Lytechinus pictus: one gene and its partners. The protein of the gene in region 1 interacts with the protein of each later gene in a biochemical or structural test. Links are inferred from orthologs where the notes say so. Each region holds a gene or a part of one and is shown on either strand. Other genes may lie near its edges.

Region 1 (3,760 bases):
TTTATGGTTTCTTGTCAATTCGAGGGTGCTGATTCCGAATATGAATGATGCCACTCTTGTAACCTTGAGCATTTTCCGCAAATTGGCAAAATCCAATATGGCCGCCAAAAAATGCAAATTACCCATGAAAATCATAGAATTGCCCACACATTAGCTATAAAATGCATGTAGTTGTTGTGCAGAAGTGAAATACCCGTTGTAAAAGCGATATTTGATAAAATATTTATTTTATTGATATTCAAAATGGCCGCCATAACCCCTGTATACCTTATTATGTAGAATATGAATGGGGAATTTTTTTTTTTAACATGAGCACTATTATTGCATGTGATTGTGACCTGCGAGTGGACTACTGTCTGAAAACATGACTTTTAACAAAACTATGTCATTTGTATACTATCTAATGTGATTAATGCTGTATTATGATATTCAAAATGACTGTCATAGACCCATTATAAAAGGGGACAAATAATTTTCACAACCTTTGAATTTGTTTGACTTTAAAATGCCAATAACTGCGAAATATTGGTGAAACACTTTCTGACAACAAGGATTTCTAACGAAACATATCATTTCCCTTGCAATTTCGGTAATTATGCTGCATTTTTACATTCAAAATGGCTGCCATAGGCCCTATCTGTATTATGAACAAAGCGAATGAAGAAACTAATTTTCACAAGATTAAAAACAGTAAAATGAATGTAATTGTAATCTACGAGTGAAATATTGTCTCAAAACATGTTTTCTAGCGAAACATATCATTTCCTTTTTCATGTATGAGATAAATGCTGTATTGTAAAATTCAAAATGGCCCCTATGGGCCCTTACAGTATTATCTACAATGTAAATAAATGGGGACAAATACTTTTGGAAGAATTAGGATTTGCCTGACTATGAAATCCATATAATTCTGTTGTATAAGGAAAATATTGTATGAAAACTTGATTTTTTTTTTATTAAATATAACATTTCCTCTCCCATATAGGTGATAAATACTGTATTTTGACTTTCAAAACGGCCGCACAAGCCATTATAAATTCTGTAACATGCGTATAGGGAAACTAATAATCACCAGAATGAGAACAAAAAACGCACGTAACTATGTGATGTATAGGTAAAATTTGGTCTTGAACATGATTTCTGACTAAATACATCACATAATGGTTAAGAAGGTAATAAAGGCCTTACTTTAAAATTCAAAATTGATGCAATAGCCAAAAGTAGTATGTACATTGTAACTGGGGACAGCTAATTTTGACAGAATTTTTACTACGAAAATGGCTTAATTTTGATAAAAGTGTTAAGTATTGTCTAAACCCAATGATTTCTAACGAAATATATCATAGCTTGTGTCATAAAGGTGATGAATGCTGCCTTTTAAAAATGAAAAATGGCCGCCCGATAGTCCCTTATCTTAATATGTAAAATTTGAATGGGGAAAGATAATTTCCACACAAAAAAAACATATTGCAGCCATTTTGAATTTTAAATATAGCATTTATCACCTAAATAACATAAGAAATTATCTATTTGGTTAGAAATCGTATTTTCAGACAATATTTCATCCATACATGCAACACCATTTTAGTCAAGCAAAGCCAAATTCTGTTAAAATTATATGTTCCCATTCACAAAGTACATAATAGGCCTACCGTTAGGGCCTGTAGCGGCCATTTTGACTTTCAAAATACATTATTTATCACCTACCTGGCAGAATGAATGATATATCTTGTTAAAAATTATGTTTTCAGACAATATTTTACTCTTAAATCACAATTATATGCATGTTATGGTGCTGACTCCTGTGAAAATTGGTTTCCCAGATCGATTGTACATAATACAGTCAATGTCTTTTGGTGGCCATTTTGAAAGTGAAAATGCAATATTTAACACAAATATGATACCCTTAATAATATATTTCGTTGCAAATTATATTTGAAGACAGTATCCCACTAATTTACCACAAAAAAATGCGTTTTAGTGCTCACATTGTGATTGTTTTTGTCCTCTCTCACATCGTAGATCATAATTCTAGGGCCTTTGGCGGCCATATTAAATATCAATATACAGGGTTTATCACATACATGGCATGTTAAATAATAAATTTCGTTAATAATGTTTTTAGTCAGTATTCCACTCGTTTATCTTAACAAAATGCATTTTAGTGCTCACTCTTGTGATTTTTTTGTCACCATTCACATTGTACATAATAGTGTTAGGGCTTTTGGAGGCCATTTTGAATATCAAAATACAGGATTTATCACATAACTGACATAAAAAATGATATATATCGTTAGCAATCATGTTTTCAGACATTGCTTCACTCATAGATTATAATTACTTGCATTTTCATTGCTCAAGTTTGTAAAAATTAATTTTCCCCATTCATGTTGTACAGGGGTCTATGATGGCGGCCATTTTGATATCAAGAAAATAAATATTTTGACAAAAATAATTTTTTCAGATATTATTTCACTCCGGCAGCACAATTGCATGTACTTTATAGCCAATGTGTGGACAATTTTATGATTTTCATGGGTAATTTGGATATTTTAGCGGCCATATTGGATTTTGCCAATTTGCAGAAAATGCTCAAGGTTACACGAGTGGCATCATTCAGATTCGGAATCAGCACCCTCTAATTGACAAGAAACCATAAAAAAACATTGTATATATAAAAAAACAAGGTTCGACCCCTTCTATCCTGGACTATTCTGGATGATGTTCAGACTTTGTTTATCAAGCCTACATTTACATGTTTGTGCCATCCCTGTGTAGCCCAAATTTCAATTACGGTAATGGTCAGTTTTGGGATTATATCAGGCTTTTTAATAAGTACTAAGCACTGCACATCATAAGATACCATCAAAATGATTTTGTTTGATCTGGGCCCTGTTGCATAAAAGTTTCTATTTTGATAACTGTGCCATCCAATGGTAACTACCATGGTAACACTGATCAACAGCCAATCAAGGATTCCATGCAAGTTACCACTGGATGGCATAGTTACCATAATGATTGATAGCTTTTCTGCAATGGGGCACTGTTTCCCATTTCATAAAGACTAACAAGTTTACCATCAACCAATCAAATTTAATGATTTCAATAGCTTACGTATATTACTGTTATTGCATATTTGTAATTATAAAAAGTTTTATGAAATGGGACAGGACTAGTTTGCCATGATTGATTGATTGATAAATTCAAAGTGGATGAAAGGGTTGATAGTAAGGTTGGCTCTTGGAAATATCTTGGTCATTCCTGGGACATACCTGAGAAAATTGAATGAGTAAGTACTGGTCATGGTTGTTCACTAGCGTCAAATCTATTTCTTGTTTACCAAATATGTGCCCTTTATTGTTTTCAACATTATCTATTGTCCTTTTATAATGTTGTACCTTGCATATTTCTTTCTAGCATCTTCGAGACAAGTTGTGGAACTTCTCTTTCTACAAGCTCATTGTGGTGTTTGGTGTACTCAATGTTCAGACTCTAGAGGAGTTGGTTCTCTGGGTTGGATGGTTCGCTATTCTAGCTTTCCTTCATGGTTTTGCCCAACTTTCCAAGGACAGGTTTGAATATGTGAGTAAAGAGCCATTTTGTTTTAATGAGTTATCAGCGAAGTCTTTCATTTTGTCTTTTATTTTGTTTTTACTTGTACAGTAGGTGTATTCAAAGCCAATCAGATACAGTGATTTCAGTAGCTTGTATCATTTTTCAGTGTAAATCCTAGACTAATTGTTTTATGAAACAGTCCCCA
Region 2 (3,760 bases), on another chromosome or scaffold:
AACAGCACGACACACTCTCGGCATCCTGTTGGTCAACTTGTTGAGGGAGTCACTTGAAATACCCGGCCATGCCTTCTGTAGTATCTCCCACAGATGAGTCTCACTTGTTGGGCAAGTTTCTCGAACCTTCCTGTCTAGTTCTTCCCAAAGCAGCTCGATGGGATTGAGATTGGGGACTGGGGCGGCCAATCCATGATTTCCAGGACTTGTTTCTCTTCCTTTTTCTTCAAGTAGTCTTTGCATAGTCTTGACGTGTGTTTTGGGTCATTGTCCTGCTGGAAAACGAATCCTTCTCCGATCAGGCGTTTCCCTGAAGGGATGGCCTTCCGCTGTAGGATAGAATGATAGCCGTGCTGGTTGAGGATACCCTCTACTCTGTGCAAGCTGCCTACCTTTCCTGCACCAAAGCAACCCCAAACCATGACATTACCACCACCATGTTTCACAGTTGGCTTGATGCACTGGAGTAGCATCTTTTCTCCCTTTCGCCGTCTCACATAGGTAAGTCGCTTGCTGCCAAACACCTCGAACTTTGATTCGTCAGACCAAAGAACCTTCTGCCACTGCTCCAAAGACCAGTCTTTATGCTTCCTAGCCCAAGCAAGCCTTTTCTTCCGGTTCTTTTCTTTGAGGAGTGGTTTCCTTGAAGCCACACGGCCCATCAGCCCTGCTCCACAGAGACGTCTTCTAACAGTTGAAGAACATACAGGCATCTCACGGGTGTTGTTGAGGTCAGCTGTAATCTGTGGGCAAGTCAGACAACGGTTGCGCAGACTGCTCACCCGAATGTATTTATCTTCAGCAGGAGATGTTGTTTTGGGCCTACCACTTCGTCTCCTATCCCCATTAGACCCAGTGGCCTCTTTGCGTTTCAGGCTGTAGTGAACAGCATGGATACTGATCTTGAGTTTCCTGGCTATTTCTCGCATGGAGTAGCCTTCTTTCCTCAAAACTACAATTGACTGACGTGTTTCCAAAGAAGGCTGTCTTGTCTTAGCCATTTTGATTTTGTGACTGACTTCTGATTAAGAAAAACTGAATAGGCAAAATGAATGAAGGTGCACTGGAATAAGTGTAAAAAAACTCTGAATAACTTTTGAATTCATGAATTTCAAATTGCACTGATGTCTACTCCACTTCCATGCATTTTCTTTAAAGAAGGATTAGGCATTTGTCAAGTTCAGATGTTTTCCAGGATAAAGATGCAGATTTCCATAAATTAACTGTCTTATGAACAATACTGAGCAACAAATTCTGGGGACATCTGCTGTAACATTCACAAAATAATGGGAAGAATTTCAGAATAGAACCCCAAACAGAATGCCATCTTGACTGGTAGCCTGCCCTCTTTGGCAGCTGCACGTCTCTTAAGAGCTTTGAATTTGTTTGATTCAATGATAAAATGTACACTGGTGTATAGCCTTCACTTTAAAACAAAAGTACAGCTGTACTATGAGGCTTAACTTCAGTAAAGTCTACCAAAGTTCGAAAAACACACACTGAAGGCAGGTGTTTCCAAACTTTTAGGGGGGAGTGTATGGGTTCTGGCATATGGGATTTGGAACTGATCAGGGGAGCGTTTCATCAATATTTTTATCCGACAAGTTGTCAGATCTGACATCTTTCCCTGATTTTGATTGGCCGAGAGGCACTGTTCCCATGGTAACTGTCGGATAAAATGGGACTTGTCGGATAAAACGTCCGACAAGTCCTTTCATGAAACGCCCCCCAGGATTTCCACGTGTACATGGTCCAGTTGATTTGATGGAATAAACTGGTCATCCATGATCCGGGATGTCAATAAGCGTTGATTATTGCATAACGAGTATATACAGACATTCTGTAGACCTACATGCCGATATGACGTATTGTTCAACGCCACTGATCTGAATACTATAATAAAAGGACTAAAGATAGTGGACAGATCAGTGTTCAACACCCCTTTTTGTGAGTTACCTCTGCATCGATCGCAAGCTGATGCAATTAGGCAAAGCATTGCCCGAGATCAAAGGGAAGCACCCTTTTGGTGATATATTGCCATTACAGTACACGACATTTTCCAAGAGTGTTCCTGTACATGACACAAAATGTCTTTCTCGATATTCGGATTCAAGATTTCATTGCCCATTGTTGGAGCAATAGCTGCTTTGCTGTTCGGGTAAGTAGATATAGGCCTATTTATGATATTTCTTCTCGTAAGGCTTACGCTACGTTAACAGTAATATTTAAAACCGAGTTTGAATAATAGACTAAAAATGGGCCCTATCTTCAATTTTTTTTTTCAATCACATTTCCTTCATGTTGTTCTCTTTATTCTGAGCTTTGAACCTAGTTTGTTTGCTCGGTTGAACTAATGTAATCATTATTATACATTCAACATAGATGTTCCTGTAAAACATGGATTCATTCATTGTAAAGTTGTAGATTCTTAGCTCCGCTAGATGGACACTGGATGCACGTAATCAATGTATTTGTTAATTCGCATCCACACCATAGCTGTCAACAGTATGAATATAGGCCTACGTACACCAAAGGTGTTCAGTACAGACTTAACATAAAAAGAAGAAGTTCCTGTACTCCGATAGATCAAGAGATTGACCAGCGTTATTAACCCCCTCAGTTATATCATGGATAGTCAATAATTTCATATAGCGCTCCATGGTAGCTAGGCCTATACATACAAAGATTACACAATTTAATTCTACACTGAATGGAAGTGGTGTACCAAGTATGTTTCCGGTTCTGCCAAGGTGCAGTGGTTCAAAAGTCCCCATCCATCATCGACCTCCTCGATCGGCTCCTGGCCTGTTCGTAAAAGTAAAAAAAAAGTATTGTGGTCTAAACTAAATTTCGATAATATCATAATCTAACCATATATATATATATGTATAATCTATATCGGTGTGAGTGGGGAATCAAGTATGGTTTGCTAAGGTGTGCCTATCAATAGTTGTTTATACAACTGATTATACCCTCATTTGCATAGCTTTAAGTAACTTTGCGTCTCAAAATTCATACAATTCCCTGTGTGAAGCATAGAGTGCCGTGAATGCTGGTACTACTCATGTATATTCGGTTTTGGGGGCTATTTCTCTAAGCTGATACCATTGTGAAAACTGTGAAGGACGGCTGAAGGGGAGGTATAACATTAAAATTGATATGTGCAAATTGATATATATTATATCAATTAATAATATGTCTGCAAACAATGATCAGTTCTAGACGTTCTGAATAACAGAAATAATTAAAGATCACACCACACAAGTCATGTTATATCTGAAAGTTTAAAACGTATGATCATCTTTTTCTAAAGTTCGGAATAATGCTAATACGTCTTAAACATTATTAAAACAAATCTTTACTATGTGATCGGAGTAGAACTCGGCTTCAAATTGCAACAGATGGCAAGATTGATATGACGTTAACCTACGTGCTGCCATGTCGGACAAAGAAAATCACAAGCGACTGTTTGTCCGTCGATAACTTGAATGCGAGACCCATAAAATTTTACTTCCATAATACGTAATGGTGGTTAGGCCACCTATTTTTGTTGGTACTATAATTTTGTCATTTTGTAAGCACCATTGACACAATTACTATCAACATTATTCATGATTTATATATTTATCACCAGCCAGGAGCTATGGAACCTAACCTACCTTTGGAGGAAAGGAATCAAGGGCCCAAGACCCCTGCCATTGTTAGGCAATATTCTTTCCTGCACAAAGGTAAATTATGAGATGGTAAAAAAGGTTCGATA
Region 3 (3,760 bases), on another chromosome or scaffold:
GCATGAAGAATACATGTAGGCATGAATTGCTACATCTCTTAAAACAGCAATATGCAGTGTAGATATCTACACTTGCTTATGTACGCTATAAGTTTTCATTTTCATTAGAACATGGAGAAACGTAATAATATAATGCAACAATAATTTTTTTTCATAATATTGGATATAATTGACGCCTTTGGCAAGGCGTCAATCCACAATTTGCCACTCTCCACCCAGGTGTTAAATGGGTACCCGGTAGGATGCGAAAGCCTATGTAGTATGCCTAGCAATTGAGTCTTGGAACTCTTGTTGGAATGCTCCCCAGGGAGTGGAGAAGGTGCATACATTGTATGCGGGCATGCAAGGATCCGATGACTGGGGTGATAATATATCTGTAAAGTGCTTAGAGACGTCGTTTCGATGTGTTAAGCGCTATATAAATGCAGAATATTATTATTATTATTATAAATAGATCCTTAAATGGGGGCCTTTGGGAAAATAATTAAATATCAATCCTGTGATTGTTATTAAATGTTCAGTGATTGTATCAAACCAACTGAACTATTATTACTTTGAATACAGCTTTGAAAATAGTTTTTAATCAAGGCGACTCATTTGCCCCATTTTGATGTGCAAATAAGGCGCGCTGACAACAATATTTAAGGCTCATTAATATGCAAATGGGATTGATTAGATCTTATATTTCTATTGGATAATGTATGTCTGCTGTAGACCTTATATTTGACATCTAATCATGTTTCTACTGCTTTGCATTAAACAAATATGAGTGGAATTATGAAAAATGGGGCTTTATTTACCCCACTCTCCCCTACCCAGTATGAATGCTTGCCTCGAGCGTCTGATCAGGGGAGTCAGATTCAAGGAAATTTGTCAGATCTGACAACTTGTTGGACAAAACTGTTGATCAACAGCTCCCCAGGATAGCCATACTAAAGCCCAGGTAATAGTATGCATTGCATTAAGAGCTATATAAAGTTGCATATTATTTTTTCATCAAGTCAGCACTGCTGCTATATTGAATTAGACAAGTGCTGCAGGCGAGACTGCCAGAAGCTTTCCACTTGTTAGATTTTGTGGTGTGAAGTATCCTGTCATTTAATTTTTTACTTTATCTTTACTTTTCTTTAGATTTAGGATCAAAGCTTGATACAACAGAGTAGGGAGAGAGAGGATCATAATGATTGATATTACTGTAAAGACCCTGGATTCACAAACCAGGCAATTCTCTGTATCAGAGGATGTAAGTTTGCTTGATTTATTTCTTCTCAATATAATAATGAATGATAGTGGTGGATCCAGGTAGGGGCACATCCAGCCCATGGCCCCCCCCCCCCTCCACCCTTTGAAAGGCACAAGAAGATATCTTAGGGGATTTTGTCATGCATACGCATTTCAGGACTTTTTTTTTTGCTTGTCATATTTTTCCTGTACAAAATACCCCCCCCCCCCCCTTTAGAAAATCCTGGATCTGCCCCTGATGATAGTGATAATACAGATTATGTCAGTGATTAGTAATAATAATTAGGAGGTGCAAAAGCTCCATTGATGAAGCATTTGGTTCTGTTATCCAGTGAACATAGGTTTGATTCAGAGTTGATGTGTTATTGTCCTTTAGTGCCAATTGGTAAGGTATTGACCCTCATTTAATATTAGGGGCCCATATCATGAAGGACTTTCAACATATAACTTACCATTATGGTAGCTACTATGGTAACCGGGCTCAGCAGCCAATCACAATCAAGGTTTCCATGGTAGTTGTCATAATTGTAAAGCAACCATAGTTGTAACTCTTTATGAAAGAGGCTCCATGTCCTTTTTAGCAGACTTAAAATCTTCAAACGGATCCTCTGGTTAATTGCTTACTAAAATTCATAAAATTCATACTTTATAATATTATAATTCATAATGTACAATATTGCATTTTATTTTCAGTTTACAATACCACTTTAATTAGCTATGATAATTTCAATTGACAACAACATGTTAATTAACAATGCCAATGTAATTTAAATGAATGGGAAATGATAAAAATTACACTTCAGCAAGAGATGATTCATATATTAAGTGTATAGAAAAATCAGGAAACATTTATCGTTAATACAACATTTATATTGAGCAAATTTGTATGATTTCTTAATTCATTCTCATTGTTTAGATATGAATTGGAAGTATTTATATGTATTTATACCTTATTTATTTTCTTTAATTGTAATAGTTGACGGTGAAGGATTTCAAGGAAAAGATTGCAGGTTCTGTGGTAAGATATTTTCTCCTATCACTTATTTACAAAGAAGAGTAGCACTGTAGGCCTACATATATCATTAAAGGAATTTCATGTGAATTCTTCAAATAAAATCCTTCAATGACTGTATATACATACGTAACTCACAGGAAATGAATGTTCTTTAAGAAGATCAATTGAGGCCATGGGAATTACAGTCACAGGATTGATTAATTCATCTAATTGGCTTTAAGCAAAACTTTCAGCAAAAGTAAATGGCTTATTTTGTGAGTAACCTTGATTGAAATAAAATTATGTTCAATTTTCAACTATACAATCATTACATGTGTTTTCAGTATGAATGTATTGAGTAGTAAATTAGTGTGTTTTCATTCAAGTGGGTATATTTGACAAGAATGTTGCATTATGAGTAAGGAACCAGGCCAGATTCAAGTAGTTGAGGACTTTATGTGGTGCGAAACAAGGGTGCTGGCTCATAATTTGCTTTAAGTAGGATTCGTTTTGTTAATGTAATCTCTTTAACATGATCGCTTTCAGGGCATTGCAGCTGCCACTCAACGTCTCATTTACGGCGGTCAAGTCCTCAAGGATGAGAAGAAGCTGTCCGAGTATAACCTCCATGGAAAGGTCATGCATCTGGTGGAGAGGGCGCCCCCACGACCTGCAACCACCAGTGCGAGTGGTTCCCAGCAACAGAGAGGCGGTTCTTCCACTACTTCTGCCCCATCTCAGCAGCCTGGTCTTTCTGCAAACTCTAACGAGGTTCAGGTATGTATACATTGATTAGCGATTGATTCAAAGACATGATTTTGGAGTTTTGAGGCCATGAGACATTAATTTCTCATTTAGACTGCATATAATTGACTCTGCCTATTAAAGACAAGACCAAAAGCAAAGGTCAGCAAAGTATTACACCATCTCTGATATTCAAAGATTATAGTAGCAATGACATGTATGCTATGCTAGCAATATGTCAAGGGCCTTTATTCAAACCCTCCTCGTTTATTTTTGTTGTTCCTGGTTTCAGTGATTGATTCATCGTTCTAAGTAATCAGCTGTTCTATTATCCAATGACCATCCTCATTATTTAACATTAATCAGGTGGTTACAGCCTTTCTCCAAGTTTTTCTTCTCCACATTTGTTGGAAAAGAATTTGTAATCAGATTCTTAGAGATCCATTTTCAATTCAAGTTTATTTTTCTCTGCATAAAATGAACAGAAAAATAATAAATTACATGTGGAAAAGACAAAGAATACATAACACGAAAGACATAGAAGTTTATAATATTTATTGATATTTTCCAGAATTCTTATTTTTTATATTTCATTGCTGACATTATTATACAGCTGTTCAGTAAAGACCTACTTTTAAAAAAATATAAATTTTTCAAGATTGAAAGAAATAATATAACTTTCATTGCATATTCATATTAATTTTTAATTTTAGAACATCGTACAGCACATTCTAGGAGCTATGGGAGACTTGGGGCGCAATGCTAGAGTAACATCACAAG

The links.
Region 2: of the proteins of E3 ubiquitin-protein ligase AMFR-like (region 1) and cytochrome P450 3A24-like, one has a biochemical effect on the other in vitro, tested with the Homo sapiens proteins (4 studies listed by BioGRID). The link is inferred for Lytechinus pictus from reciprocal best matches to the Homo sapiens genes AMFR and CYP3A4.
Region 3: the proteins of E3 ubiquitin-protein ligase AMFR-like (region 1) and large proline-rich protein BAG6-like form a complex in vitro, tested with the Homo sapiens proteins (2 studies listed by BioGRID, with this or other methods). The link is inferred for Lytechinus pictus from reciprocal best matches to the Homo sapiens genes AMFR and BAG6.

Annotation. Positions count from the first base shown.
Region 1 is NC_087246.1:24,899,378-24,903,137, forward strand, and holds the start of E3 ubiquitin-protein ligase AMFR-like, read left to right. Parts: upstream 1-1,160; coding exon 1,161-1,172; intron 1,173-3,417; coding exon 3,418-3,582; intron 3,583-3,760. UniProt on the Homo sapiens protein: E3 ubiquitin-protein ligase that mediates the polyubiquitination of lysine and cysteine residues on target proteins, such as CD3D, CYP3A4, CFTR, INSIG1, SOAT2/ACAT2 and APOB for proteasomal degradation.
Region 2 is NC_087251.1:35,008,414-35,012,173, forward strand, and holds the start of cytochrome P450 3A24-like, read left to right. Parts: upstream 1-1,345; 5' UTR 1,346-2,087; coding exon 2,088-2,158; intron 2,159-3,634; coding exon 3,635-3,728; intron 3,729-3,760.
Region 3 is NC_087259.1:30,468,720-30,472,479, forward strand, and holds the start of large proline-rich protein BAG6-like, read left to right. Parts: upstream 1-1,112; 5' UTR 1,113-1,180; coding exon 1,181-1,243; intron 1,244-2,218; coding exon 2,219-2,260; intron 2,261-2,782; coding exon 2,783-3,013; intron 3,014-3,693; coding exon 3,694-3,760. UniProt on the Homo sapiens protein: ATP-independent molecular chaperone preventing the aggregation of misfolded and hydrophobic patches-containing proteins.